Linked DNA regions of Anolis sagrei. The protein of the gene in region 1 purifies or fractionates together with the protein of each later gene. This does not show direct contact. Links are inferred from orthologs where the notes say so. Each region holds a gene or a part of one and is shown in the gene's direction. Other genes may lie near its edges. The genes, in order: ARRDC1 and ZMYM2.

The links.
Region 2: the proteins of ARRDC1 (region 1) and ZMYM2 purify together in Homo sapiens (affinity purification with mass spectrometry; 3 studies listed by BioGRID and IntAct, counting the BioPlex papers as one, with this or other methods). This does not show direct contact. The link is inferred for Anolis sagrei from reciprocal best matches to the Homo sapiens genes ARRDC1 and ZMYM2.

Annotation. Positions count from the first base shown.
Region 1 is NC_090031.1:9,262,760-9,278,756, forward strand, and holds the start of ARRDC1 (arrestin domain-containing protein 1), read left to right. Parts: upstream 1-7,226; 5' UTR 7,227-7,650; coding exon 7,651-7,768; intron 7,769-15,997. UniProt on the Homo sapiens protein: Functions as an adapter recruiting ubiquitin-protein ligases to their specific substrates. Through an ubiquitination-dependent mechanism plays for instance a role in the incorporation of SLC11A2 into extracellular vesicles.
Region 2 is NC_090023.1:27,915,646-27,931,924, forward strand, and holds the start of ZMYM2 (zinc finger MYM-type protein 2), read left to right. Parts: upstream 1-9,041; 5' UTR 9,042-9,191; intron 9,192-10,601; 5' UTR 10,602-10,692; intron 10,693-16,279. UniProt on the Homo sapiens protein: Involved in the negative regulation of transcription.

The DNA of each region.
Region 1 (15,997 bases):
TAAGGAATTGAGTGAAGAGCTGAGCTATAAGGAGGGTTCCCAGGGGAAACTACCTGTAGCTACAGAGATCAAAGTAAGTCTTTGTTTACAAATTAGAGCCCAAAATAGATTACACCAGGCTGAAAGATTATGTGGGAAAGTTGGAGAGAAAATTCACGGGAGACGTAATGCTTTCATGAGTGTCTATTAAATAACAAGTTGTTTGTCTTAAAGGCAGTTCAGGCAACGCTGCGTTAGAGTGAGAAGCTAAGCCTGAGTTATCTTGTTCTTGGTTGAAGTCAAGCCTTGGTTTTGGATTTTAATATCCTGGAAGTTTTCCATGTTCCTGTCCACGTACTCCTGTTCAAGTTTTTACTAGTTGTACCTTCTTGCTTGGGGGCTTATGCTGTAACTGTGATTTCTGGCTGTTCCTGGATTTTGTCACCTCTGGAACTTTATGAGAGAATTGGATTATTGTTTGGTTATCACTTGTTGGTGAACTTTTTTTGAATTACAGTATATATCTTTTTTTTTCTTATTCCTGTTTTTTCATATGGTTGTATCATAAATACAAGTGGGTGCTAGAAATAATATCTGATGAAAGCTGACTGGCACAACCTGGGGATCACAACCAGACACAGTGAAGACATCTGCCCTTGCGCTATGCTACTCTGCTGCTGAGTACGCATGCCCAGTGTGGAACACATCTCACCACACTAAAACAGTAGATGTGGCGCTTAATGAGACATGCTGCATTATCACGGGGTGTCTGCGCCCTACACCACTGGAGAAATTACACTGCTTAGCCGGTATTGCACCACCTGACATCCGCCGGGAAGTAGCAGCCAATAGTGAAAGGACCAAGGCAGAGACATCTCAGCTCATCCCCTGTTTGGGTATCAGCCAGCATGTCAATGACTTAAATCTAGACATAGTTTTCTAAGATCTACAGAGACACTCGCTGGAACACCTCACCAAGTAAGAGTCCAAAAGTGGCAGGCTCAAACAGAACCTCAACCAATGGCTGATACCAAATGAGAGACTTCCCCCTGGGCACACAGAAGAGTGGGCAACTTGCAAGGCACTGAACAGACTGCGCTCTGGCACCACGAGATGCAGAGCCAACCTCAAGAAATGGGGCTGCAAAGTGGAATCTACAACATGCGAGTGCGGAGAAGAGCAAACCACTGACCACTTGCTGCAATGCACCCTGAGCCTTGCTACATGCACAATGGAGGACCTTCTTGCGGCAACACCAGAGGCACTCCAAGTGGCCAGATACTGGTCAAAGGACATTTAATCAACTACCAAGCTTGCAAATTTTGTATTTTGCCTGTCTGTCTGTCTGTTTGTTTGTTTTGTTTTGTTCTATTAGAAATGTAATACAGTTGATTGGTTGTATTTCTGGACTCTTTTGTGGTGTGGTGGTCATAGGTGTTTCCAGGCCTGGAGTGCAACAGTAGACATCTTGGAAGAGGCATTCTTCTATTTACAAGAGAAAACTTATCCAACAGGCTCTGTGATTGACTCAGGTTTAGTGCTGACATGATCTGTCACCAATTCTAGAGTCCCAGCTCACGGTCTTGTGGATACTGGCATGCCAGGAGAGCATTTTTACCATAGTTCCTCTCTCTTCTGTCACTACAGAACAAGTTACTCTAGCTTTCAGATGACCACAGCTGAACCCATGAGCCTTGAAGCGGCTGCCTTGATTTACCCTTATGCCATTATGTAATTTGTAAAACCAATTTGTGCCAAGTGGATCAAGCTACGTTGCTACTCTTTTGTGGGACCATTATGCCCTGGATGCAAGGCTACATAAAGACCTTCCAAGGTGCTAAACCAACCTCTCTCAACCATTATGACCTGGAGGAACCCTAGAAATAATAATTTTTCAGGTCTTAGGGAACCCTTGTGTAGATATTATTATTATTATTATTATTATTATTATTATTATTAATTTATTACCTGGAGGAACCCTAGAAATAATATTTTTTCAGGTCTTAGGGAACCCTTGTGTAGACATTATATTATTATTATTATTATTATTATTATTATTATTATTATTATTATTATTTTATGACCTGGAGGAACCCTAGAAACAATATTTTTTCAGGTCTTAGGGAACCCTTGTGTAGACATTATATTATTATTATTATTATTATTATTATTATTATTATTAATTTATGACCGGGAGGAACCCTAGAAGCAATTATTTTTCAGGTCTTAGGGAACCCTTGTGTAGACATTATTATTATTATTATTATTATTATTAATTTATGAAATGGAGGAACCCTAGAAACAATATTTTTTCAGGTCTTAGGGAACCCTTGTGTAGACATTATATTATTATTATTATTAATTTATGACCTGGAGGAACCCTAGAAATAATATTTTTTCAGGTCTTAGGGAACCCTTGTGTAGATATTATTATATTATATTATATTATATTATATTATATTATATTATATTTTTATTTATTTACAGTATTTATATACCGCCTTTCTCACCCCTGGGGAGACTCAAAGTGGTTTACACATAAATAATGGCAAAATTCAATGCCTTACATTTGGCACCAATACGATGCCAATACAAACAATTACAATAGTAAAACCACAATTAAACATAAATCATAATTAAAGCAATATATCATAGAATCATCGAATCAAAGAGACCTCATGGGCCATCCAGTCCAACCCCATTCTGCCAAGAAGCAGGAATATTGCATTCAAATCACCCCTGACAGATGGCCATCCAGCCTCTGTTTAAAAGCTTCCAAAGAAGGAGCCTCCACCACACTCCGGGGCAGAGAGTTCCACTGCTGAACGGCTCTCACAGTCAGGAAGTTCTTCCTCATGTTCAGATGGAATCTCCTCTCTTGTAGTTTGAAGCCATTGTTTCGTGTCCTAGTCTCCAAGGAAGCAGAACACAAGCTTGTTCCCTCCTCCCTGTGGCTTCCTCTCACATATTTATACATGGCTATTATATCTCCTCTCAGTCTTCTCTTCTTCAGGCTAAACATGCCCAGCTCCTTAAGCCGCTCCTCATAGGGCTTGTTCTCCACACCCTTGATCATTTGAGTCGCCCTCCTCTGGACACATTCCAGCTTGTCAATATCTCTCTTGAATTGTGGTGCCCAGAATTGGACACAATATTCCAGGTGTGGTCTAACCAAAGCAGAATAGAGCATGGGTAGCATTACTTCCCTAGTTCTAGACACTAGGCTCCTATTGATGCAGGCCAAAATCCCATTGGCTTTTTTTGCCGCCACATCACATTGTTGGCTCATGTTTAACTTGTTGTCCACGAGGACTCCAAGATCTTTTTCACACGTACTGCTCTCGAGCCAGGCATTGTCCCCCATTCTGTATCTTTGCATTTCGTTTCTTCTGCCTAAGTGGAGTATCTTGCTTTTGTCACTGTTGAACTGTCAACAAGCATTAAAACAATAAAACAGTAACCTGTTGGGCAGTTAGGAATATGTTAACCTATTTTACACTTATTGACAGTTATATATTCATAACAGTTAGGCATTCATAACAATTATGAATATGTAATGTACCGTTACGCATTATTAACTACTAAGTATTCATGGTGCCTTGTTTAGTGGCTACATTGTTGTTGTGTGCCTTCAAGTCATTGAACCCTAAAACAAAGGGATTCGATGGGACTTGCACTTGCCTTCCTCTGAGGCTGAGAGAATGTGGTTTGCTAAGTTCTCCATAGCCAACCTGGGATTTGAACCCTGGTCTTCAGTGTCATACTCCCACACCCTAACTGGTATACATCGCTGTCTGTGGATGCTGGGAGTTGTTGTCAACACTCTGAAGGTGCGGATCATGCCCACTACAGACCTTGACCTACTATACCCATCATCCCCAGCTTTAGATGTAGGGAGTTGTCCTCCGATACTCTAGAGGTGCTAATCATACCCACCACAGACTTGGTTTACTATACTCATCTCACTGATGATGATGATGATGATGATGATGATGATGATGATGCAATGCAACCTGAGCCTTGCTACATGCACAATGGAGGACCTTCTTATAGTAACACCAGAGGCACTCCAAGTGGCCAGATACTGGTCAAAGGACATCTAATCAACTACCAAGCTTGCAAACTTTGTGTTTTGTTTTGTTTGTTTGTTTGTTTGTTTGTTAAAAAATGCAATACAACTGTTTGGTTTGCTCCTGACATGATAAATAAATAAATATTGATGATGATGATTTGTGTTGTCAAAGACTTTCATGGCCGGAATCGCCGGAATCAGGAGCCCCCGGTGGCACAGTGGGTTAAACCCCTGTGCCGGCAGGACTGAAGACCGACAGGTCGCAGGTTCGAATCCGGGGAGAGGCGGATGAGCTCCCTCTATCAGCTCCAGCTCCTCATGCGGGGACATGAGAGAAGCCTCCCACAAGGATGATAAAAACATCAATTCATCTGGGCATCCCTGGGCAATGTCCTTGCCGACGGTCAATTCTCTCACACCAGAAGCGACTTGCAGTTTCTCAAGTCGTTCCTGACACGACCAAAAAAAATTGGCCGGAATCACTGGGTTGCTGTTTTCCGGGCTTATGGCCATGTTCCAGAAGCATTATCTCCTGGTGTTTCACCTGCATCTATGGCAGGCACCCTCAGAGGTTGTGAGGTCTGTTGGAAACTAGGCAAGTGAGGTTTATGTACCTGTGGAATAATGTTCAGGGTGGGAGAAAGAACTCTTGTATGTTTGAGTCAAAAGTAAATAGTACAATGGACCAGCTTGATTAGCACTGAATGGCCTTGCAGCTACAAAGCCTGGCTGCTTCCTACCTTGGGGAAATCATTGGTTGGGAGGTTAGACGGCCCTAATCGTTTCCTGTCTGGAATTCCTCTGGGTTTTTTTTTTAGAGTTGTTCTTTATTTACTGTCCTGATTTTGGAGGGTTTCTTTAAAATACTGGTAGCCAGATTCTGTTGAAATTGTCCACATGCTTGTGGGTTTCAATGGTTTCTCTGTGTAGTCTGACATGATGGTTGTCAGAGTTGTTAGAGAATCCTCCCAACAAAGGATTCCCCCAGCCAAAAAGCAGGGTAGGAGCAAGAACTCCTGTCTGTTGGAGACCAGTTGGGAATGTTGCAGTTGGCCACCTTGATTGGCATTGAATGGCCTTACAGCTTCAAAGTCTGGCTGCTTCCTGCTTGGGGGGGCAGCTAACACCTCCCAACCAAGGATTCCCCCAGGCAGAAAGCAGCCAGGCTTTGAAACTGCAAAGCTATTCAATGCTAACCAAGGTGGCCCATTGCAACATTCACACTGCAAAGTCAATCTGTGAGGGCATAGAGGTCTGTTGGAAATGAGGCAAGTTTACTGTGAGACAAGTGGACTGTATCTCTGGAATGATACATTCCAGAGATACAGTCCACTTGCTTCACAGTCTTTTGGAGGCAAGTGTAAATGTTGCAGTTGGCCGCCTTGATTAGCATTGAATGGCCTTGCAGCTTCAAAGCCTGGCTACTTTCTGCTTGGGGGAATCCTTGGTTGGGAGGTGTTAGCTGCCCCCCAAGCAAGAAGCAGACGGACTTTGAAGTTGCAAGGCCATTCAATGCTAACCAGGGTGGCCAACTACAACATTCCCAACTTGTCTCCAGTGGATAAGAGTTCTTTCTCTCAACCTGGGCATCACTTGCCTAGTTTCCAACAGATCTCACAACCTCTGAGGATAGAATCATAGAATCAAAGAGTTGGAAGAGACCTCATGGGCCATCCAGTCCAACCCCCTGCCAAGAAGCAGGAATATTGCATTCAAATCACCCCTGACAAATGGCCATCCAGCTTCTGCTTAAAATGCCTGCTAAAGATGCGGGTGAAAGGTCAGGAGAGAATGCTTCTGGAACTTGGCCAGTCTGGAAAACTCACAACAATGCAATGATGGGATCTGAGAGAAAGAGCTCTTGTCTGTTGGAGGCAAGTGGGAATGTTGCAGTTGGACACCTTGATTAGCATTGAATAGCTTTGCAGCTTCAAAGCCTGGCTGCTTTCTGCCTGGGGGAATCAATTGTAGGAAGGTGTTAGCTGGGCCCCAAGCAGGAAGCAGCCAGGCTTTGAAGCTGCAAGGCCATTTAATGCCAATCAAGGTGGCCAACTGCAATATTCCCAACTTGTCTCCAACAGACAGGAGTTGTTTTTCCCACTGTGGGCATCACTTGCCTAGTTTCCAACAGGCCTCACAGCCTCTGAGGATGCCTGCTTGGCTGCTTTCCGCCTGGCGGAATCTTTGGTTGGGAGGTGTTAGCTGGCCCCCAAGCAGGAAGCAGCCAGGCTTTGAAACTGCAAGGCCATTCGATGCTAATCAAGGCGGCCAACTACAACATTCCCAACTTGTCTCCAATGGATAAGAGTTCTTTCTCTCAAACTGGACATCACTTGCCTAGTTTCCAACAGACCTCACAACCTGTGAGGATGCCTGCCGTAGATGTGGGTGAAAGGTCAGGAGAGAATGCTTCTGGAACATGGCCAGACAGTCTGGAAAACTCACAACATTGCAATGATGGGATTCAAGAGAAAGAGCTCTTGTCTGTTGGAGGCAAAAGTGGATGTTGCCATGGGCCACCTTGGTTAGCATTGAATAGCCTTGCAGCTCCAAAGCCTTGCTGCTTTCTGCCTGGGAGAATCCTTGGTTGGGAGGTGTTATCTGTCCCCCAGAGTGTATACAGAGAAAGAGCTCTTGGTCGTTGGAGGCAAGTGTGAATGTTGCACTGGGCCACCTTGGTTAGTATTGAATAGCTTTGCAGCTTCAATGCCTGGCTGCTTTCTGCTTGGGGGAATCCTTGGTTGGGAGGTGTTAGCTGGCCCCCAATCAGGAAGCAGCCAGGCTTTGAAGCTGCAAGGCCATTCAATGCTAATCAAGGTGGCCAACTACAACATTCCCAACTTGTCTTCAACAGACAAAAAATCTTTCTCCCACCCTAGACATCACTTGCCTAATTTCCAACAGACCTCACAACTTCTTAGTATCTTTGCCGTAGATGTGGGCGAAATGTCAGGAGAGAATGCTTCTGGAACATGGCCGGACATCCCGGAAAAGTCACAACAACCCAATGATGATTGCTGTCCCCTGAAGAAGGGAGGGAGATGATGGGATTCGAAGTCCTAACAATCCCTCTGGATTGGTCTTGACGTCACTTGGCCAGCTCTCCTTGGCCCCTCCCTCAGCTCAGCTGCCACCAATCTGAGGGGCGGGGCGAAGGGGGCGGGGCTTGGAGGAGAGGGGGCGTGGCCTGAGCGAGGTTCCTTCCAGGTAGAAGGGCCCGGAAAGGCTGTGCGTAAAAGGGCAGGAAAGACACCTCCGTGCGTAAAAGCGCAACACAGCTCGGTGCGTAAAAAGGGGAAGAGAAGAAGACCCCCAAGAAGAGCTGGGAAGCCTCTGCTCCTGGGACGAGAAGAGAGGGAAAGGCAGGCAGGGAAGGAGGACATTGAGGGGCCAGATCTCGCCTTCCGCGGATCCCAGCTTCCCCCTTCCTCCCGCGGTGCGGAAAAGGGCAGGAAGGAAGGAAGGAAAGACCTCTCCCGTGCGTAAAAGCGCAGGGAAGCTCGGTGCGTAAAAGCGCAGCAGGAGAAGAGGAGGAGAGAGAGGGCCAGGCCTGGCCTTCTGCGGCCCCCTGCTCCCCCCTTTCCCTCGCCAAGCCCACCATGGGGAAGGTGCAGCTCTTCGAGATCCGCCTGGGCGAGAGCCGCGTGGTCTACAGCCCCGGAGAGCCCCTGGTGGGCACCGTCACCCTCCGCCTGGCAGCCAGCCTCCAGTACCGAGGTGAGAAAGAGGAACCTGGGTTGGGAAAGAGCGAAGGGAAGCTCTCTCTCTCTCTCTGTGTGTGATGCTCCTTTGCTTGTCCCTGAACTGCCCAGAGACCCTTCTTCTGGCAGGATGGCACTGAGAGGAGGCTTCTCTGTGTGGTCAGCGGCCACCTTGATTGGCATTCAGTAGTCTTGCAGCTGCAAAGTCAATCGGTGAGGGTAACTGCAGAGAGGTCTGTTGGAAACGAGGCAAGTGTACTGTGTATATCTGGAATTATGTCCGGGAAGGGAGAAGGAACTCTTGTCTGTTGGAGTCAGGTGTGAATGTTGCCATTGGCCACCTTGATAAGCACTGAATGGCCTGGCAGCTGTAAAGTCAGTCAGTGAGGGTATCTGCATAGAAGTCTGTTGGAAACTAGGCAAGTGTACTGTATATATCTGGAATTATGTCCGAGGTGGGAGATGGAACTCTTGTGTGTTGGAAGCAGGTGTGAATGTTGCCATTGGCCAGCTTGATTGGCATCAAATGGCCTTGCAGATGCAAAGTCAATCAGTGAGGGGATCTGGATAGAGGTCGGTTGGAAATAAGGCAAGTGGGGTGTATAGCTATCTCTGGAATGATGTCCCAGGTTGGAGAAGGAACTCTTGTCTGTTGGAGGCATATGTGAATGTTGCTATTGGCCAGCTTGATTAGTATTGAAAGGTCTGGCAACTGCAAAGTCAATCAGTGAAGGTATCTGCCTAGAGTCTGATGGAAACAAGGCAAGTGGACTGTATGGAAGGATGTCCCAGGTTGGAGATGGAACTCTTGTCTGCAAGTGTGAATGATGTCATTGGCCACCTTGATTAGCATTGAGTAGCCTTGCAGTGGGAAAGTCAATCAGTGAAGGTATTTGCATAGAGGTCTGTTGGAAACTAGGCAAGTGGTCTGTATATATGTATTTCTGAAAGAATGTCCCAGGTTGGAGAAGGAACTCTTGTCTGTTGGTGGCAGGTGTGAATGTTGCCATTGGCCAGCTTGATTAGCATCAAATGGCCTTGCAGATGCAAAGTATTTTTAAATTTTAATTTATGTCTAATTGTAGTGTATAATTGTGAGAAAAGCGGTATACAAATACTATAAATATGTAAATAAAGTCAATCAGTGAGGGGATCTGCATAGAGGTCGGTTGCAAATGGACTGTGTGTGTATATATCTGGAAGGATGTCCCAGTTTGGAGGAGGAACTCTTGTCTGTTGGAGGCAAGTGTGAATGTTGCCATTGAGCATCTTGATTAGCATTGAGGAGCCTTGAAGTGGAAAAGTTAATCAGTGAGGGTATCTGCATAGAGCTCTGTTGGAAACTAGACAAGTGTACTGTGTATATCTGGAATTATGTCCGGGGTGGGAGAAGGAACTCTTGTGGGTTGGAGGCAAGTGTGAATGTTGCCATTGGCCACCTCGATTAGCATTGAACAGCTTTGCAGTAGCAAAGTCAATCAGTGAGGGTATCTGCGTAGTCATTTCCAGTGAGGGAATCTGGAAATAAGGTAAGTGGACTGTTTATATATATGGAATGACGTCCAAGGTGGGATAAAGAAATAACTCTAGTCTCAGTTCTTGTGGGTTTTTTCGGGCTATATGGCCATGTTCTAGAGGCAGAAATGCCTCTAGAACATGGCCATATAGCCCGAAAAAACCCACAAGAACTGAGTGATTCCGGCCATGAAAGCCTTCGACGATAACTCTAGTCTGTTGGAGGCAGGCGTGAATGTTGCCATTGGCCACCTTGATTAGCATCGAATGGCCTTACAGATGCAAAGTATTTTTTTTTGTATTTTTAAAATTTAATTTATGTCTAATTGTAGTGTATAATTGTGAGAAAAGTGGTATACCAATACTGCAAATAAATAAATAAATAAATAAAGTCAATCAGTGAGGGGATCTGCATAGAGGTCTGTTGGAAACGAGGCACGTGGACTGTATATATGTATCTCTGGAAGGATGTCCCGGGTTGGAGAAGGAACTCTTGTCTGTTGGAGGAAAGTGTGAATGTTGCCATTGCTGGCAACTGCAAACTCAATCAGTGAAGGTATCTGCATAGAGTCTGTTGGAAACAAGGCAAGTGGACTGTTTATATATATGGAATGATGTCCAAAGTGGGATAAAGAAATAACTCTTGTGCGTTGGGGGCAAGTGTGAATGTTGCCACTAGCCACCTTGATTAGCATCAAATGGCCTTGCAAATGCAAAGTCAATCAGTGAGGGGATCTGCGTAGAGGTCTGTTGGAAACAAGGCAAGTGGACTGTATAAATATGTATATGTATATATATATAATCATAGAATCAAAGAGTTGGAAGAGACCTCATGGGCCATCCAGTCCAACCCCCTGCCAAGAAGCAGGAATATTGCATTCAAATCACCCCTGACAGATGGCCATCCAGCCTCTGCTTAAAAGCTTCCAAAGAAGGAGCCTCCACCACACTCCGGGGCAGAGAGTTCCACTGCTGAACTGCTCTCACAGTCAGGAAGTTCTTCCTCATGTTCAGATGGAATCTCCTCTCTTGTAGTTTGAAGCCATTGTTCCGCGTCCTAGTCCCCAAGGAAGCAGAAAACAAGCTTGCTCCCTCCTCCCTGTGGCTTCCTCTCACATATTTATACATGGCTATCATATCTCCTCTCAGCCTTCTCTTCTTCAGGCTAAACATGGCCAACTCCTTAAGCCGCTCCTCATAGGGCTTGTATATATATATATGGAATGATGTCTGAGGTGGGATAAAGTAATAACTCTTGTCTGTTGGAGGCAAGTGTGAATGTTGCCATTGGCCAGCTTGATTAGCATTGAATGGCCTTGCAGCTTCAAACCCTGGCTTCTTCGTGCCCGGGGGGATCCTTTGTTGGGAGGTAATAATAATAATAATAACCTCTGTTTCAAAGCCTCCAAAGGAGGATCCTCCAGCACTCTCTGAGGCAGAGAGTTCCACTGCTAAACAACTCTCACAGTTAGGAACTTCTTCCTCATGTTCAGGTGGAATCTCCTTTCATGTAATTTCAAAGATGCTCATCTGTCTTCATTTTGGGGGAAAGGTGCCAGTTAGCAAGAAGAGGTTTCCTTCCATCTTGGCAAAGAGGTGCCTTGATGGATTCTTCTTTCCCTCCTTGCTTGGCAAAGAGGTATTCACATTTTCCAAACACCTTGGGGACTGTGTTTCTTCTTTCCTTCCTGGCCAGGAAATGTTGGGACCAGTGGTGCAATATTTATATTTCCCTCCCTTTTGGCAAAGAGAACCTGGTGCCTGAGGAGATGCTTTTCTTCTTCCCCTTCTGGACTCGTAACTGGAGTTACTAGTAACCAGTTTAATTATTTTGTTTTCATGTTTTTATGATAGAACCAGCAACAAAAATGGTGTTACATAGAGTAACAACAACAACAGCAATATGTTAATGAAGGTTTTCATGGCTGGAATTTTCCAGGCTGTTTGGCCATGTTCCAGAAGCATTCTCTTCTGACGTTTCACCCAAATCCAGAACAGTCATCCTCAGAGGTTGAGGAAACTAAGCAAGTGGGGTTTATATCCCTGCAGAATAATGTCCAGGGTAGGAGAAAGAACTCTTGTCTGTTGGAGGCAAGTGTGAATGTTGCCATTGGCCAGCTTGATTAGCAGTGAATGGTCTTGCAGCTTCAAAGCTTGGTTGCTTCCTGCATGGGGGAATCCTTTGTTAGGAACCATAAAAATAAATGACATCGGCCTCCCAGCATTAAAAAAATCTAAAATCAGGAGGGTAAATAAAGAGCAACACTCAGAAAACAGGGAAATTCCAGACAGGAAACAACCAAGGCCAGGTAACCCCTCTCAACAAAAGATTCCCCCAGGCAGGAAGCAGCCAAGCTTTGAAGCTGCAAGGCCATTCAGTGCTAATCAAGGTGGCTGATTGCAACATTCACACTTGCCTTAAGCAGAGAAGAGTTCTTTCTCCCACCCTGGACATTATTCCACAGATATATAAACCCCACTTGCCTAGTTTCCAACAGACCTCACAAGCTGTGAGGATGCCTACCATAGATGTGGGTGAAACATCAGGAGAGAATGCTTCTGCAACATGGCCATACAGATCAGAATACTCACAGCAACCTAATAATAATAATAATAATAATAATAATAATAATAATAATAATGGCGATCGGCACACTGGGTGCAGTACCTAAAGACCTTGGCCTGCACTTAAAAACAATCAGCATTGCATCTATTAGCTGCAAAAGTCCACCCTACTCAGATATGCCAATATATCACCCAGTCCTAGACACTTGGGAAGTGACTGACATGTGATCAAATACAAAAGCCAGCATGGTGTGTACTAATCTTGTTATGTATAAAATAATAATAATAATAATAATAATAATAATAATAATCCACTTTTTCTTGCATCTCGAAGCAGAGTGCAACAGAACTAATACTGAGCAATAAAAGCAACACTACAAAAGTACATAATAACAAAATACACACAATAACAAGGCAACACCAATAAATAATAACAAAACAACACAAATAAAATGTGCTGAAATCGCATAATTAATTAGTGCTGGGGCTCCCACCAGCCAAGTCTCTAGAATGCCAGTTTCTTCCATCAAAGTTCTAACCAGGGCTGACACTACATAATGTTCAAGATCAGAAGGGAATTGTGCTTTTAGGGATAGTTCGGTGTAAAGTAAAGGTAAAGATTTTCCCCTGACATTAAGTCCAGTCGTGTCCGACTCTGAGTGTTGATGCTCATCTCAATTTCTAAGCCGAAGAGCCGGCATTGTCCATAGACACCTCCAATGTCATTTGGCCAGCATGACTGCATGGAGTGGCGTTACCTTCTCACCAGAGTGGTACCTATTGATCTAGTCACATTTGCATGTTTTCGAACTGCTAGGTTGGCAGAAGCTGGGGCTAATAGCGGGAGCTCACTCTGCTCCCTAGATTCAAACCTGCGACCTTTTGATCAGCAAGTTCAGCAGCTCAGCGCTTTAGCCCACTGCGCCACCCCCAACTTATGTTTATAATATTTCAGAATATAATATATATAATATTATAAATATTTATAATATTTTGCCACTTTGACCATGCTTTAGTGTTTTGCTTTTCACTTGAGAACTACTGGAAAGCAGGCAACCCCTTGTTTCTAAAATTCGTATTGCTGAACTGAAGGGTGGCTCAGCAATGTTTTGAATCTGTATGTCAACAAGGAAGTGGGAACAAGCAAGCACCTTCATCCAGGTGTAAAATGAACTCTGCTCAAAGCCTCTCCTCTGGCAGGGATTCAAGGTCTCCTTGCAACGAAACAGAGCCATCTCTTGGGGAATATTGCATGGAATATTGTTCTGGTTGCCGGGATCTTGGTGCATCCTTTCCCTTTTGTCCTTCAAACTAAGAGTCGGGAAAGGTTTCAGAGACATCCTTGTGTGGGCGTTCTGGTTGTCAGCACATTTTTCTCTTTGAGATAATCTTTCAGGACCTTCCTTAACCTGGACTACAAATCCTACTAGCCCTGGTTGTCTGGTTCTGTCACCAGGGATGGTGGGAGTTGTAGTCAAAAACATTAGAATCATGGAGTTGGAAGAGACCTCGTGGGCCATCCAGTCCAACCCCATTCTGCCAAGAAGCAGGAAAATTGCATTCAAAGCATTCCCGACAGATGGACATCCAGCCTCTGTTTAAAAGCTTCCAAAGAAGGAGTCTCTACCACACTCCGGGGCAGAGAGTTCCACTACTGAACGGCTCTCACAGGCAGGAAGTTCTTCCTAATGTTCAGGTGGAATCTCCTTTCTTGTAGTTTGAAGCCATTGTTTTACGTCCTAGTCTCCAGGGGAGCAGAAAACAAGCTTGACTTCCTCTCATGTATTTATACATGGCTATTAGGAGCCCCCAGTGGTGCAGTGGGTTAAAGTGCTGAGCTTGTTGACCAAAAGGTTGCAGGTTCGAATCTGGGGAGCGGCGTGAGCTTCCGCTGTCAGCCCCAGCTTCTGCCAACCTAGCAGTTTGAAAACCTAGTAGTTCACCTACATCCAGAGAGGACTGTAGACTCAAACAATGATGGATCTGGACCAAACTTGGCATGAATACTAAATATGCCCAAATGTAAACAGTGGTGGAGCTTGGGGAAAATAGACATTGACATTTGCGAGATGTAGTTGCTGGGATTTATAGTTCACCTGCAAATAAAGAGTATTCTGAACTCCACCAATGATAGAATTGGGCCAAACTTCCCACACAGAATCCCAATGACCAACAGAAAATACTCTGTTTTCTGATGGTCTTTGGTGACCCCTTTGACACCTCCTCATGACCCCCCTCCAGGGATTCCGACTCCCAGGTTGACAAACGCTGGGCTATGGGCTGATGGAAGTTGCTGTCCAATATCCCTGTGCTTTAGGAGTTGGGGGCTGTTTTCCAGAGACTGATCAAGGCTAAATGGGCAGCTGCATCCCTCCAAGTGTTGTTTGATTGCAACTCTCATTCTCCTTCAGTAGAGATTGAGCTGACTAGATGCTAATGGGCATTGCGATCCAACATCTGTAGGGTTTGGCATGGCCTTATAGGGTCTGGATGCTTTGTGGAGACTGGCAGAGATGGGCAGCCACAAATCTTCCAGGTGGTTCATTGCAAGTCTCAGTAGATCCTAGGCTGGCTAGTGGATGATGGGTGTTGCAGTCCAATATCTAGGGTCTGGGATAGTGTTGTCGAAGCAAGGGGATACTATGTGGAGGTTGGCTGGCTACAGGGCAGAAGTGGGCACAGACTGAACTGGCTAGTGGGTGATAGGCATTGCAGTCCAACGTCTGTGCGGCCTGTGGTTGTGCTGTAGCAGTCCAAGACTTACTTACTTACTTACTTACTTAGGCAATCCCTCGTTGTGGGATAGGATAGGATAGTCTTCCAAGATCAGTGTACTCGTGGGTCCGTAGGTGACTGTGGAGTCATGTTCTTGACCTGCATGTTCTCCCGCAGTGAGGGCATTGGTTTCCAGGTGGAAGGCGGTCCCGGTCGGGGTTGGTTTGACGTGCCTTCCTCTTGGCACCTTTCTCCCTTTCACCCTCCATTCGTGCCTCTTCAAATTCTGCAGCACTGCTGGTCACAGCTGACCTCCAGCTGGATCACTCAAGGGCCAGGTCTTCCCAGTTCTCAGTGTCTATGCCAGAGTTCTAAAGGTTGGCTTTGAGCCCATCTTTAAATCTCTTTTCCTGTCCTCCAACATTCCATTTTCCATTCTTAAGTTCAGAGTAGAGCAACTGCTTTGGGAGACGGTGGTCGGGCATCCAGACAACGTGGCCGGTCCAGCAGAGTTGATGGCGAAGGACCATCGCTTCAATGCTGGTGGTCTTTGCTTCTTCCAGCACGCTGACGTTTGTCCGCTTGTTTACCCAAGAGATTTGCAGGATTTAGAGTGGCTTGTAGATCTTCTTCTGAATGCGCAGAAGTCCAAGAGAAAAATGAGAGATAAGCAGTGTCAACCCTTTGAATGTCCTTGGACTGCAGTTCCCATCATTCCCTCTCCACTGGCTATGCAGGCGAAGGGCTTGTGGGGGCTGCCATCCTCTGCATGTGGAGAATCCTCGCTCCTTCTCCACTCCTCCTTCCGCCTTCCCTAAACTTTGCAGCTCAGCCGTGAATAAGCAACCAGAGCTCCAGTCTGCTGATTGAGCAGTTCAGGGTTCGGGTGAATGGAGGATCCCTCCGGGCAGAACAGAAGATTCGGAAAGCATCTTAATTCATTTGTTCAAAGCTTTGTTTGCAGAGGGAAAGAAGAAGAAGCAGCAGCTGAAGGGCTTGGCTGTGTTCCTTTTTATAGAATCCTATCTCCAAGAGAAGGGCCTCTCTCTAAGAGCCTGCTTTGCCCAACCCTTAATAGCATTCTTTCCTTCCACTGAGGCAAGTGTCATCCACATTCTACCATGCAGGGAGACACACTCCAAGCCCTCCCGACAGATGGCCATCCAGCAAGTGCTTAAAAACCTCCAGAGAAGGAGATTGGGTGATGTTAGGATGGAGTGCCTTGCAAAGCAGCATGGCTGACTGGAGTTGAGAATGAAAATAATATTGGAAAACATGTGTATAAAATGGTTGAAAAGTGTGTCTCAGAAACCCTGCCAAGAAGAATCTTCGGGTGTGTCCACGTTGTAGAGTTATTGCTGTTTGACACTACTGGAACTGTTACGGCTCAGTATTATGGAATTTTCGAAGTTGTCCCTTTACTACAGTGGTTCCCAATCCGTGGTCCGTG
Region 2 (16,279 bases), on another chromosome or scaffold:
ACTATCTTATCTATGTCTCCCTTCTACCTGTTAGTTTTTCTTTTCCTAAGATAGTTTTTGAGGATGTTTTATACTCTTCTGTGTTTTCTCTCTCCTTACTGGCAGTCAACTAGGTAAATAACAAAAAAAAAGAGTCACCAGCTGAAATTGCACTGTTAGCCCCTCTCTATCATGTAAAAAGGTCTATATGGATGCCACTTTTTGTTTGGTTTTTCCATGCCACACTTATATTAGAATTTGACCACAGTTTCTTTTCCACTCTCTAAAAAAAAAGAGAGAGAGCCAGCTTAATTCCGAAGGTTTTTTTAGCCTTGTGAAATATTATAATGTTCTCATGGTTGTGAAAGCTGGTCAGTGAAAAAAATTATAAGAAGAAAAATTATAAGAAGATAATAAACTAATTTGAAATCTGGTACCGGAGGAGAGTTCTGATTATACTACTGAGGTTGAATTTAGACCAGGACCACAGATATGTCGGGGCCCATGGCTGGCAAGCATTTATGCTAACAGCTCAAAGTTTCAGATTAGAAAACACACTCACCAGGGTGAAGACAAGCAACAGAGGTTTAATATAATGTGACCAGAAAGAATGCATGTATGGCTGATGTCAAAATGTACAAGCATAATATGTAATACAGAGACATAAGGCTTTATACAGTTGACAGCTATTCAAGCTTCCCACTCTGCCTGCTCCCCTTTCTGATTGGCCAGCAGAGAGGAGGTCTGAAGAAACATCCTAAACTGGCTGGCACTTTGGTGACGTTGCTGCCTCCAGCCAGAGTTTGTCTGGTGAAGGAGAGGGAGAACAACTGGCCTGGGAGGGCCAATCAGCTGTTGTAGTAGGGGAAAGGGGGCTCTCCAGAGAGAAGGCAAGCCCTGGAAGAATCTATCACAAAATGTCAATAAGTTCTTTGTTCTTTGGGGAAAACATGTGTGCAGGACCCTGGAACAAGAGGATATGATCTTCTGTAATCAAGCCTTGGATGTCAAATAAAAGGATTTAAAGAGTACAAATATATTGAGTCTCTGTTTATGTGGTCAGTCATCTCCTAACCTGATTGGAGCACTAAGCTGGACAAAAACCAGCTGGCGTTATCAGATCAGGGGCAGAAACTGCCTGCCGATCCACATGTACACATAAGGAATATAAATTGTCATTTTTTCTAGGGCAGGCCAAGAATCTGCCCAGCCCAAATATCCAGGAAATTCCTCAGTGGGGTAAGCAAGGAGGTGACAGTCCCTGTGATTTGTTGGGCAGAAATTATGTATTTGATACATAAATTAGATACATAGAAGAATGAGTCAGAGAGCAAAGGATATAAGTTAGTTGAAAAGTTGTAAGAAAATATGTATTCTTATTAAAGGGTTGGGAAACAATAGAGTTCCTGTATTAGATCCACTGCTGCAGCTGAGGTCTGCATGTGCACTGATATGTATTAGCACATATCTGTGGGGTTTTAATAAAATAATACATAAATTAAAATTAATTTTGGAGCAGAGTTGTGGCTGCTGATCTGCCAGTCCGTTTTGTGCTTGGTCAAAATTGCAGGTGTTCAGTGGAGGAGAAAAAAGAAAATAATTTACTTTTATTCTGGTGCACTTGGAGAACTATAAATCTCCGGGGTGGTGGATGCGACATTCGACAACACTATGCACTGCCAAAAAGAAAATGACATGGGTTCTAGAGGAAATCAAACCTAAACTCTAGAAGCCAGGATGAGAAAGCTGAGACTCACATTTTGGCCATGATTCACTAGAAAATGCTTGGTAAGATAGAAGACAGTAAGAAAATAGAAAGTTCACTGTTGGATAGACTCAATCAATTAAGCCATTAAAATGTTCTGAAGCAGTATAGTATTAAAATACTAAAAGGCACGTCAAACACCAAAATCCCACTAGTGTGTGTATGCTTCCAAGTCACCTGTGGATTTATCCATAAATTTCATACAACTTTCTTAGGCAAGGATTATTGAGAGGTGGCTTTGCCAATTCCTTCCTCTGAAATACAGCTTTCAGTATTTTATAGTAATTTGCCATCTCGCATCCAAATACTAAACAAAGCTGACCCTACTTAGCTAATCAGACAGGATCTGGTGCCTTTAGGGGGATGTCCCATTTTTATCCCCAAGGATTGTGCAGCACAATAGCTGTACAGCAGAACTAAATACCAATATAATAATATGTGATAAGGCACAAATAAAGCAGAACTGAACCACAGTTATGACAGTATAATGACATCATGTAATAAGGACCACAGTCTTCCTATCTTTTGTCACTTTCTAATAATTAATTTCTTACCTCTTGACCAAAATACTGTGTTAAAATAAGGATCTCTCTGTTTTGAACCATTAATATATTTATTTCACTCTTACACTGTTGCACATAAAACATATACACCCCCACTCTCAAACACCATACGTAGCAACATAGCATAAACAGGATTAATTTTAAAAAGGAGATGATGAAGAGGAAGATAATAAGATCTTGCATAACATTGTTGAACTGTAAAATGGTGATCCCTTTGGGAAAATTGTTAATTTGACATTCTTTCTCAACATTCCAGATCTGAGCTGTGCAAATCATGAGATTATGCATGGTGGGATGTGCTAGATAATTTGGTCTAAATCCAACTAGTTTTTTTTATGTAACAGTGCACATTTAATTTATTTTATTATAATATATTTTATTTACATTTTGATTTATCCCAGATTAAAAACCAAGGTGGCTCACAGATTAAATGAGTTAAAATTTTACTATATAACTTTACAAAACAATTCAAACAGTATAAAATTATTTTAAAAGAATGCAAAATGTAATGACATTTTTTCACTCTGTAGCTATGTCTAAATACTGTTACAATGAAACACAAATGTTGATGAGCTACCACTTGTCAACATCACTCCTTCCTTTGCAACACATTAAAATATTCTTCCTATTCACAAGTGTAACAATGCATCAATTACTGGAGACACAATAACCTGTAAGATTTCAGATCAACCAATGTAATCCTGAATCATGATATAGGATAAGAAACATCAGCTCCCAGAGCTCCAGCACTCTTTGGCAGAGAAGGTTAAAGACCTTGCAAAACTACAACTTCCTTTATTCCATAGTGTTGAGCCATGGCAGTTAAAGTCTACAGTGTAGATGCATTCCCCGTTCTTCTGTCAGCAAGTAAAGACTGGCTGCTTATAAAGATAGGGCTTTCAACAAAATGTCCTACTGTTGTTCTTTGTTGATTAAAAATTATTAAATCAAGACTATAATTTAATTAATGTAAATAATATTTTAACAATAATCTCTGCCTGTTTTGCACATCAATGGGTTCCTACCCAGTTACCATTAATTAATCTAAAAGATCAGGATGAAGGCCAGAATAATAGCAATGTGCTCTGAATAATTTGACATTTTAAGGTTAATATGCTTAGTTTCCTGCAGATTATAGCAATCAATTTCAGCTGTAAATGGATATGAATCAAATCTATGCATAGGTTTGTATTGGTAAAAACTTTTGCTCCCAACCGTCTTGTTTAAAAATGTTTAATCTGTATGCCAGGTATTTGTCATACTTTTGAGTCTTATCATGTCAAGATGTCATGTCTTATCATATGTATTTACTGTATTATTATAAGTGTCTTATTTTAACTTACTACGTGGAGTGTGATCAGGTCCTGTCAGGCCTTGTTGTTCTGTTTCTTATTGTGATATGGCCTAAGGGATAATCAATAACATTACTACTACTACTATAACAGGCTGTGCTTTTTTATTTAATTTTAGTTTGTTAAGTTATAATTCGTATTTCTATGATGAGTTGTATAAAGGATGTTAGTATGGATGTATTGTTGATGTATTCGGGCATTGAATATTTGCCTTTTATGTTTGGAATCCGCCCTGAGTCCCTTTGAGGAAATAATAATAATAATAATAATAATAATAAACTTTATTTATACCCCGCCACCATCTCCCCAAGGGGACTCAAGAGTGGCTTACATGAGGCCAAGCCTAGCGATACATTACAGCAACATAAAATACAAACAACAAAATAACATCACAATAAAATAAATAAACCAATCAAGTAAAATAAACAGTACAAAATAACATAATGGAAAATAAAACACAGTGGGCTGGCCAAATACACGACATAAAATTATAAAACACTGGATGAGATAGCAATGAAAAGGTATATTTGTGAGGGAGGAGCTCATGGGGGATTGGACAGTGGAATTAGACTTTCAATGAGGTGGGGGAAAGTGTAATGTGAGGGAAGCAGTGTAGGTGAAACAACATGACTGGAATATATGGTCACTCTCCAAAGGCACATCTGAAAAGCCAAGTATTTAGATGTTTCTTAAAGGCTGCTAGGGTGGGGGTTTGCCTAATCTCACCAGGTAGCGAGTTCCATAGCTGGGGGGCCACAATGGAGAAGGATCTCTTCCTTGTTCCCACAAGTCGTGCCTGTGATAGAGGAAGAGGCAAAAGGAGGGCCTCCCCTGAGGATTGGAGGGAACGTGCAGGTTTGTGGAGGAAGATGTGGTCACGAAGGTAGGCGGGACCCAAACCATTTAGGGCTTTATAAGTGATAACCTGCACCTTGAATTGGGACAAGGAAATGAACGGCAGCCAATGGAGCTTCTTAAACAGGGGGGTTGACTGCTCCCTATAATTCACCCCAGTTAGTAGTCTGGCTGCCGAACGTTGAACCAATTGAAGTTTCCGGGCCGTCTTCAAGGGAAACCCCAAGTAGAGTGCATTGCAGTAGTCCAGTCTAGAGGTAACTAAGGCGTGGACCACCATGGTAAAGTCAGACCTCATGAGGTATGGTTGCAGCTGGTGCGCAAGTTTTAATGGTGTGAAGGCCCTCCCAGCCATAACCGACACCTGCGCATCAAGTATCAGCACAATCCAGGAGGACCCCCAAGCTGGGGATCTGTGACATGGGTAGTGCAACCTCGTCAAGCACAGGTTGCCACCCATTACCCTCATCAGACATACGACTGACCTGGAGTACCTCTGTCTTGTCGGAATTAATCTTCAGCTTGTTCGCCCTCATCCAGATCATCGTATCCGAGGGGCTTTCTTGGATTCTGATGAAAAAGAGTAGTGGAATTGGGTGTCATCTGCGTAGAGATGGCACTGTACTCCAAAACTCCAGATAACCTCTCCCAGCAGAATATAAATAAAGATAGAGCGGAATACAAATAAAGTTTTTATTATTATTACTTATTATAAGCGAGACTCTACTGTGAATAAAGAAATAATAAATAAAAATGTGTGAAAAAGATCTTGGAGTCCTCGTGGACAACAAGTTAAACATGAGCCAACAATGTGATGTGGCGGCAAAAAAAGCCAATGGGATTTTGGCCTGCATCAATAGGAGCATAGTGTCTAGATCAAGGAAAGTAATGCTACCCCTCTATTCCGCCTTGGTTAGACCATACCTGGAATATTGTGTCCAATTCTGGGTACCACAATTGAAGAGAGATATTGACAAGCTGGAATGTGTCCAGAGGAGGGCGACTAAAATGATAAAGGGTCTGGAGAACAAGCCCTATGAGGAGCGGATTAGGGAACTGGGCATGTTTAGCCTGAAGAAGAGAAGGCTGAGAGGAGATATGATAGCCATGTATAAATATGTGAGAGGAAGCCACAGGGAGGAGGGAGCAAGCTTGTTCTCTGCTTCCTTGGAGACTAGGACGCGGAACAATGGCTTCAAACTACAAGAGAGGAGATTCCATCTGAACATTAGGAAGAACTTCCTGACCGTGAGAGCCGTTCAGCAGTGGAACTCTCTGCCCCGGAGTGTGGTGGAGGCTCCTTCTTTGGAAGCTTTTAAGCAGAGGCTGGATGGCCATTTGTCAGGGGTGATTTGAATGCAATATTCCTGCTTCTTGGCAGGGGGTTGGACTGGATGGCCCATGAGGTCTCTTCCAACTCTTTGATTCTATGATTCTATGATTAGCATTTAATGGCTTGGAAGTGCCTGGGGGAATCTTTCTTTGAGAGGTGATTTGATGTGCCTGATTGTTTACTCTCTGTTGTTTTGTAGAACAGGCCTGGGCAAACTTTGGCCCTCCAGGTGTTTTGGACTTCAACTGGTACAATTCCTTAAGCAACGAAGGTGCAAAAAGGAAAGTGCCAGAGGCTGTTAGGAATTGTGCCAATTGAAGTCCAAAGACCTGGAGGGCCAAAGTTTGCCCAGGCCAGGTGTAGAACCGTGTTTTACTTACTTAGGTGATCCCTCGTTGGACGAGTAAGATGGTCTTCCTTGATGACTATTTTTGTGGGTTTGTAGGTGGCTGTGGAGCCCTATTCTTGACCCGCATCTTCTCCCACAGTGAAGGCATTGGTTTCCAGGTGGAAGGCGGTCTCGGTCGGGGTTGGCTTGACGCGCCTTCCTCTTGGCACGTTTCTCTCTTTCACCCTCCACTCGTGCCTCCTCGAATTCTGCAGCACTGCTGGTCACAGCTGACCTCCAGCTGGAGCGGTCAAGGGCCAGGGCTTTCCAGTTCTCAGTGTCTATGCCAGAGTTTTTAAGGTTGGCTTTGAGGCCATCTTTAAATCTCTTTTCCTGTCCACCAACATTCCGTTTTCCGTTCTTAAGTTCAGAGTAAAGCAACTGCTTTGGGAGACGGTGGTCAGGCATCCGGACAAAGTGGCTGGCCAGAACCATGTAATGCTGTTGGAACTAAAATGATTAAGGGTCTGGAGAACAAGCCCTATGAGGAGCAGCTTAAGGAGCTGGGAATGTTTAGCCCGAAGAAGAGAAGGGCAAAAAGGAAAGTGCCAGAGGCTGTTAGGAATTGTGCCAATTGAAGTCCAAAGATCTGGAGGGCCAAAGTTTGCCCAGGCCAGGTGTAGAACCATGTAACGCAGTTGGAACTAAAATGATTAAGGGTCTGGAGAACAAGCTGGGCCGGCCACGTTGTCCGGATGCCTGACCACCGTCTCCCAAAGCAGCTGCTCTACTCTGAAATTAAGAATGGAAAACGGAATGTTGGTGGACAGGAAAAGAGATTTAAAGATGGCCTCAAAGCCAACCTTAAAAACTCTGGCATAGACACTGAGAACTGGGAAGCCCTGGCCCTTGACCGTTCCAGCTGGAGGTCAGCTGTGACCAGCAGTGCTGCAGAATTCGATGAGGCACGAGTGGAGGGTGAAAGAGAGAAACGTGCCAGGAGGAAGGCGTGTCAAGCCAACCCCAACCGGGACCACCTTCCACCTGGAAACCAATGCCCACACTGCGGAAGAAGATGCAGAGCAAGAATAGGGCTCCACAGCCACATGCGGACCCACAAGGAAATCCATAATGGAAGACCATCTTACTCGTCCAACGAGGGATCTCCTAAGTGAAAGTGAAGGAGAACAAGCCCTATGAGGAGCAGCTTAAGGAGCTGGGCATGTTTAGCCCGAAGAAGAGAAGGGCAAAAAGGAAAGTGACAGAGGCTGTTAGGAATTGTGCCAATTGAAGTCCAAAACACCTGGAGGGCCAAAGTTTGCCCAGGCCAGGTGTAGAACCATGTAATGCAGTTTGAACTGCATGCTAAGGTCAGAGCAGTTTGAACTGCATGATATAGTCCAGACTGCTCGGTGTAGAACCCAGCCTTAGCTTCTCCCTGGGTTTATTTGTCCACCTGGAGGGTAATCTTTTAGCTCTTTCCCCGTAAACACAGAGAGACAGAGAGAGAGCGCCCTCCTATTAAATAGTTTTGGCTTAAACCTGTTGGCTGCCTCCGTTTCAAAAAGTGGCGCTGCTCCAGTCACTTTGGCGTTTTTATTATTATTATCATTATTTTTTTGGTGGCGCATGAGAATTAGCCAGAGCTCCAAAGAGCCAAGTTGTTAAGACTCCTTTGCTTCTCCTCCCGCGCAATTACACACACACACACACACAAAACATAAATAAAGCCTTTCCCTAGGGAGTGTGCAAGCGTGAGAATGGCTGCAAGGTGGAGTGAGGGAAGCGAGGTGGTGTGGAGATATATATATGTGTGTGGTTTTGTTTTTCTTTCCTGCCTCTTTTTTGTTCCCTTTTTTTTGTCACAGCAGGGTCACAACGGGTGGCTCCAACCAAAACACGAGCCATGGATTGGGAAAAAAGGAAGGGAAGGGGGAAAAAAAACTGGGGCGAAGCCAAGCGCGCAATAGGAGGAGAAAGCGCGCATCCTCCATTTTGGTTTGAGGGGAAAGTGGGGAGCTTTGGCTGTGGGTGGTTTCCTTCCCACCGCCTTGGGGCTTCCTTGGAGGTTCCCTCTCCTCCTTCAGGGCTCCCTCCTTGAGGGGAAAAGGGGCTCTCCTTTCAGAGCCCCATCTTGCTCTGAAGGGATCCCCCAGAGAAGCTCCCCATTGCAGCAGCAGCAGCAGCAGACAAAATGGAGGACGCCACCACCATTCAACCACCACCACCACTTCCACCACCAGGAGCCGTGCTGGGCTTCATTGCCTGGGATTGGTCTCCCTTTTGAGGAGATTATTGGAAGTTGAAGAGCATGGGCTCCTCTTATTAGTGTTCATTTTGGGGACATTTGGGAGGGCGTCCCTATTGTTGCCCCTCATGTTGCCCCTCCCCCTCCCCCAGGGCGCCATGTCCTGAGGCACCAATTCCAACCAAACGACCCCATTATGGAAATGGGGGCGCCTCCTCAATGATTGCCTGAGATTGTGGAGGGTAAAATCCATGGGGGGGGGCAGGGAATGGACCACCACTACCACTGCCACCTCTTTTTGTGGCAAATGTGGTTATTATGTGATTTATTACTATTTGGTTACTATTGTGATTATTGCTTCATGGAGGGCCAACAGAGCGCCAACTTCTGCCCCAAAAGCCCTCAGGAAGCAGCGCCCCCTTGAGGGACGCAGAGGCAACTCGGGTTGTCTCTAACCTGAGGGATACCAAAGAAAGGGGCGGGGCTACGAGGCGCGTGATTGGCAGGCGGGGGCGCTCAACCAGCCGCGCGGGATGATGACAGGCAGGCGGTTGCTCCAATAGCTTTCCGGGCGGCAAAGCCCTCCCCCTGAGGGAGCCAATAGGCGCGAGCACGAGGCTGCCTATCCACCCCTCTCTTTCCCTCTCCCTTCCCCCCACCTCCCGAAGGTTGGGTTTGTCCCTCCTTCGCCTCGCCAGCAGCGGCGGCGTTTATCCCGGGACTGGACCGAGTTAGAGTTGAGGCACTGGCGCGGGAAGCCATTAAACGGTGAGAGAGGCAGGAGGAGACACGTTGAGCCCTTCGAGTGGAGAGAGAGAGAGAGGGCGGTTAAAGCAGGGAGGGAGGACTGCTGAGGGGTATTTGGCTTGATCCATTTTAGCACACCGGGAGGGGGGTGCGATTCCTGTCAAGCGCGGCTTTGAAGCCCAGCGGCCTCCCTCCTCGCAGTTTTTTGTCTCTTTTTTGTTTCCGTACTCGCTTGCGTTCCCTTTCCTCTTTTTGCCCTCTCCCTTCCCCCCCCCCCTCCGTATTGTTTGGTTGGGTCCCCATTAATGGCGGCCGACCCGAGGCTGCAGTACCGCTGGCCGACAGCAGGGGGCCAAGCGCGCCGCCCGGGGCAATTGGGAAGGGAGGCCGAAGGGACAGTTGGGCCGGCCCACTTTCCCCAGAGGGGGGGAGGAGGGAGGATTGCATGCGGTGGGGCTGTTTTGTGTGTCAGTGGCGGGGGAAACCCTGGAGGCAGTTCCTCCCTTTCCGTCTTTGGTGGGGTATTGTGTGTGTGCGTGAAGGAGAAACTCCTCCCCTTTGCCCTCTTTCTCCACCTCTATTCCCCCTCCCCCCCCCCTTTATCCCCTTCGCCTCTACCTTCTCTCTGGGGCAAGAGGCGCCCATTCCACTGGAAAACTGTAGGCCTAAGGGAACTGGAGGTAGACATTTGGGACCTCTCTGGGGCCACGCAGCGAGGCAGGAAGGAAGGAAGGGCGTCTCCTGGAGGGGAAGATGAGAAGGCCCACCCACCTACTAATGCCAGCATTTTTACCCCCAACACCACCATCTCTTTATTTGGGGTACAAATAGAGAAGGGGAAGATAAAGGGAGCCCACCAGCCCTATTCTGGCCCCTTTTCTCTTCTTGACTCCAGCATCAATATATCTTTTGAGAGGATTGGGGGCTCTCCCTCAAAGAAGGAAGGGCGTCTTCTGGAGGGACAGATATGGCATGCCCACCAGCACTATTCAGGCCCCTTCTCTCTTCTTGACCCCAACATCAACATATCTTTTGAGAGGAGGGGGGCGTCCTTAGAGGATTGGGGGCTCTCCCTCAAAGAAGGAAGGGCGTCTTCTGGAGGGACAGATATGGCATGCCCACCAGCCCTATTCAGGCCCCTTCTCTCTTCTTGACTCCAACATCAACATATCTTTTGAGAGGAGGGGGGCGTCCTTATAGGATTGGGGGCTCTCTCTTAAAGAAGGAAGGGCGTCTTCTGGAGGGACAGATATGGCATGCCCACCAGCCCTATTCAGACCCCTTCTCTCTTCTTGACCCCAACATCAACATATCTTTTGAGAGGAGGGGGGCGTCCTTAGAGGATTGGGGGCTCTCCCTCAAAGAAGGAAGGGCGTCTTCTGGAGGCATGCCCACCAACTCTATTAATGCCCCCTTTTCTCTTTTTCTCAGGATTATCAACACCTCCTCCTCCTCCTCTCTTTTCCCCAGGCCACTTTGGCGCAGCCTTGGCAAAGCCCAACCTGGAGAAAGGAGCTCTATTGTGAGTGCTATTTATATATGCTTTTTTGCCTGGGGGAGGAGGAGGAGGAGACTTTTTTTTTCTTTTTTGGCATTTGGGAGGAGGGGCTTCCAGGGCAATGGTGGGGTATTGGGTGCAGCAGGGGGAGCATTAGCAGCTGCTTGCTGCCCTGGAGCAAAGCCCTGTAATGGCCGTGAGGAGACTCCTCCTCCTCTCCCTCGGGGTGGGCTCTGCTGCAGACAGCGCTCCTGCCATAACCAACACCCTCCTGCTGCTGCTCCTCCCCGCTTTAACCAGGCTCTTCTCTGAGAAGGATATCTTTCGAGAGCCCTCTAGAGTTTTGGAGCCAACACCAAAGTGACATACTATAGGCAACCGGCAAAAAGGTCACAGAAATAATAAAAAAATTAAATTGTTTATAATAAAGTAAAATCAGTTTTTATAATATAGTATTAAGGCTTATCAATAATAATATTTACTTATTTATTTATATTCCACCCTATCTACCCTAACCATTTAATGAAACCAGTATTGAAGAAAGTGGTTTTGCTGTGCAACCAGTATTGAAGAAATTGGTTTTGCTGTTCAGATGATTACACAGGAAATCTTGGAACTGATTTGGGGGCCAAATGGTGGTGTTCACACAAACCACAGATACTGATGCACACATTAAGGGTTTGCTTTTGTGGGAGTTTGTTGTCTGGCAGCAGCAGCTTGAAACTTGCTTTGAACTGCATTAAATGGTTAGTGTAGAAGGGGCCTAGGTTAAGTTTGTCTGTATTTTCTTTTAATTACAGTATTTCAATATTAATAACAAGTCAATAAAGAGTTTATGATATGTTATGGGATATAGTGTTTGATCTCTGTTGAAGAGTAACTCTCAAGTTCCCAGCAACTACATATATCTGGCATCTTCCTATCCCCATATGTGCAAATACACTGATAGTCCACTGTGTTTAACCAGGTTTCCAATTTTCATTCCCTCACAACTCTCCCAATGGCCTGCAACCTTACTTGACTTTGTGGCTGGGTAGGAGAGACTTAAAATAATCCAATCTTTGGCAAAGTGTGGTTGCTTCTTCTTTTTCTTTCATGGAACTGGATTTGTTGAGGGTTTGGGTGCATCTTCACAGAATTAATACAATTAGACACCACTTTTACTGCCATGGCTTAGTGCTATGAAATCATTGAAGTTGTAGTTTGGTATTTTATCTTATCAGGAGTGAACCAAAGGTACTGTTTTAATGTATTTTTTAAAAAGATACAAAGTTTAAAAACTTGATAATTATATTAATTGTCCTTTGACCAGTAATTCGCCGTTTGGAGTGCCTCTGGTGTCACTGTAAGAAGGTCCTCCATTGTGCAATGTGGCAGGGCTCAGACTGCATTTTAGTAGGAGATCTGTGTTTGCTCTTTTCCATGCTTGCGTGTTGTGGACTCGCTTTTATAACCCCATTTCTTAAGGTTGGCTCTGCATCTCGTGGTGCCAGAGCACAGTCTGTTCAGTGCCTTCCAGGTCGCCCATTTTCTCTTTTGCACAGGAGAGAGTCTCTCATTTGGTATCGGCCATGGGTGGAGGTTTTGAGTTTTAGCCTGCCACTTTTGGAGTCTTGCTTGCTGAGGTGTTCCTGCGAGTATCTCTGTAAATCTTAGGAAGCTCTTTCTTGATTTAAGGCATTGGTATGATGGCTGATATTTGAACAGGGGGTGGGACAGAGATGTGACTACCATAGTCCTTTCATTATTGGTTGCTATTTCCTGGCGGATGTCAAATGGTGCATTACCGGCTAAACAGTATAATATCTTCAGTGGTGTACAGCACAAACACTCCGTGATAATGCGGCATGTCTCATTAAGACCCACATCCACTGTTTTAGCGTGGTGAGGTGTTCCACACTGGGCATGCATACTCCGCAGCAGAGTAGCGTAGCGCAAAGGCAGATGTCTTCACTGTATGTAGTTGTGATCCCCAGGTTTTGCCAGTCAGCTTTTTTCATATTGTTTCTAGCACCCACTTTTTGCTTGATATTCAAACAGTGCTGCTTGTAGGTCAGAGAACGCTCCAGGGTCACTCCCAGGCATTTGGGTGTGCTGCAGTGCTCCAGTGGGATTTTTTCCCAGATAGTCCTCAGAACTCAAGATTCTTGTCTATTCTTAAGATGAAAAGCACATGTCTGTGTTTTAGATGGATTAGGAATCAACTGATTTTCCCTGTAATAGGTACCTAAAGCTTTGGAGAGCTTCTGTTCAACCATATCTCAAAGATCCCTGCTTTAGCGGTGATGGTTTGGTGAGACACCAGAATTCTTTGGCAGAGAATGCTAAATACCTTGTATAACTACCAAGTCCATTATTATGTAATGCTTTTGTTTTTATTATTTGTGTTTTTGGCATCTAACTGTTGCCTATATGTGTAAGCCGCCCTGAATCTCCTACGAGGTTGAGAAAGCTGGGATATAAATACAGTAGATAAAGAATAAAAGTTCAATAGTATTGAGCCATGGAAATTAAAATGGTGTCAAACTGCATGAATTCTAGAGTGCAGAGGTGGTGGGGAAAAATTACTCTTGGACACAATTGGCATTTTCAGGCATTCTCTGGTGCATATCTGCCTTGTCGCTATTTCCATCCCTGAGGTTGGTTGTCACTGTTCTATTTGTGTGTCATGGGAGCAAGAGTTTGCAGGGTGTTGTGGTTGTTTTCTGTTTCAATGTAATTTTTTATCATTTTGAGAAAATGGCAGTTACCTCGTTTTCCTTTAACATCATGGTGAAATGTTTGTGAGTAGCATGTAATTCTGTGTGTACAATGCTCATGGCCTATTACTTGGAAACTGACAGCAATTAATCAATAGTTGCTTGGGATGGATCTCTTAGAATCCACTGGTAATGTTTCCATAGCTGACCTGGAGGAGACAGTCATGATTGGATGATTCAAGATCAGTGTCAGTCTTATTCTTGAGAACTTACATTTTTAGATGGTGTATTGTTTAAAGAGCATGGATTAGGCATTAGTATTTTATAAGGGTTTGGGGAAGAATAGATAATACATTTTGTTTCTCAGGGACAACTATTTTCCCAACCTAAATATAATGTATTAAGTTTACCCGTGTTTATATTATATTTATTTTGTTAGTTAGGCTCACTTTTCCAATCTCTTACACCCTTTCTGAATCTTGATTCTGGAGTATTAGCTGCTCCTCCTAATTCGGTTTTACCTGCAGATTTTATAAGCGTGTCCTCTGTTCCATTATCCACACTTATAAAGCTGTTATTTACCTTGATTAATTCATTGTTGCTCAATATTATCATTCCCTAAATCATTTTAAGTGAATGTCACAAAACTAAGCAAATACAGTAGTAATGAAAAATAGCTCTAAGGGACCATTTGACCACTTTCTTTATGTGTAATGTTTCTAGTATCATAGATAGAAATGGATGATTTGATGAAAGTATTGCTGAATAGTTCAATGTTACATTAAGAACTTTCAAGTTAAGGTTTACAGTGTTTTGAAGTTCATACAAGTATAGGAGATGGTTTGGTCTGCTTTGAAGACTATGACCTGTACTTTATTTAAACCAGGGTATACAGAAACCCAGGGCAGCAAAGGCACATAAATGCACACATCACTTCAATATTCTTAACTGTCCTGTGTTGAAACAAGAAAGATTTGGTTTGGTTTGTCCAGGAGACATCATAAGCATCCACTTCTTAATTATATGGAGGCTTCTACTCTTCTTGAGTGCAACACATTTTTCCCAACAGAAAAATAGGGGCTGGGTGGGTTTTGATGTCTGTGTGGGCCTTATCCACACTCTCAGTTCATGATAACTAGGTAAAATGCCTGCACAAGATTTACTTATAGTTATGATTACCTAGGAAAGCGTTATGTCAAAAACACTTGATAATATTTTGAAGTAAATACACCTAGATGGGAGGATTGTAATATGCTCACTGTTCAAGCCACATTAGAATATGTTTGAGAAGGTAGAATGATTTGAGCAGGGAAAGCTGTGATTCCAGTGATATTTCTAGTATAAGGCCAGTTCATACTTGAAGTTTAAGAGACTTTGGCCCTTGTCTCCTGTGAATTTCCTCCTCAACTTTCCTACATAATCTCTCAGACTGGTGTATCTCTTTGGCTCTGATTTGTAAACGAAGACATTTGTTGATCTCTGTAGCTACATGTGGTTTCTCCTGGGAACCCTTCTTATCACTCAGCTCTTCACTCGTTTCCTTATCTGCTATTGCTACTTCTGTCTCCTCGGACTGGCTTTGAGACCTTACACTTTCCAAGCCTGTTTTCTCACAGAGAAACATCATTTCCCAGACCTAAATTTCTCAGACTTGAGCCCCCATCACTTTTGCCTCAGGAAAGCCCATAATCCTGTCCAAATCATCAGTTAAACCATCAGCCTCTGGCTGATGTACATCAAGAATCAGAAAAGCGAAACCTCTGAGTTTAGGCTAGTTAGAGAGGTTAAAAACAATAATAATAGATGTGATGTGGGTTGGCTTTTTTTAGCAGGAGGAAAAACAAAAAAATGACAGGGCCATTGGTTTGAGATGATAGTGAAATAATGGGACAGAGAAGGGTGAAGTGTTCAATACCTTCTTTACTTTAGTTTTCTTCCAAAAGGAAAACGTGTTACAACTAGTTAAAATAAATAAATGCTCCAGTAAGAGGCCCAGAGCCAGGAATAGGTAAAGAGTAAAGGAATGCTTAGCTACTCTAAATTCAAGTCTTCTAAGTCCATATGAACTGTATCCACGAGTACTAAAGTATCTTGAGGTGTGGTCTAAATAATTTTTTTAATTGTTGCACAACAAAAGAGGTTCTAGGAAATTGACGGAGAACAAAATTTGTCCCCGTCTTCAAATAAGGGACCTCCTGACTAATCAGTTTAACCTTGATAGATCATTAAACAGTCAGTCTGCACGCAGTGCGAAAGGGATGTTCTGGCTATTAAGAGCCAGCATGGGTTTCTCAAAAAGAACTTGTGGCAAACAAGTTATATGTTTGATAGATCAGAAGAGTTATCTGGAGATAGATCTTGATTTCAGTGAAGCTTTTGGCAAGGTCTCCCATGATATTTTTGTAGGCAAGCTCATGAGGTATGGGCTACTCAGTGTTCCGGTTAGCTAGATCTATTATTGGTTAACAAATCAAACCCCAAGATTGCTCGACTATGGTTCTTCATCCTGGAGAGAAGTCAATCTTAGAGATGTTTATAATTGACTTGAATGATGGAATGGAAAACATGTCTATCAGATTTATAAATGCCAGATTTATAAGTTAAAAATGGAGCAAACTTGTTTTTTGCTGTTCAGAGGGCAGAACACAATTCATATTAAAAGAAAAGAGATGCCACCGAAATATTAGTAAAACTTCTTTACTGTAAGCTCTTTGCCAGTGAAATAGATTGCCTCAGACAGGGGTGGACTCTGTCTTTGGAGATTGGATGGGTATTTTTCAGGAGGGCTATGTGGCCTTTGTGGAACTTTTCTAGCTTTTACAATTACATCATTCTGCTTCAGAGTTTAAAAATACGATTCTAGAAGTAACCATGTGAACATAACACTTGTTTCCTTTCATAAGGTACAATAT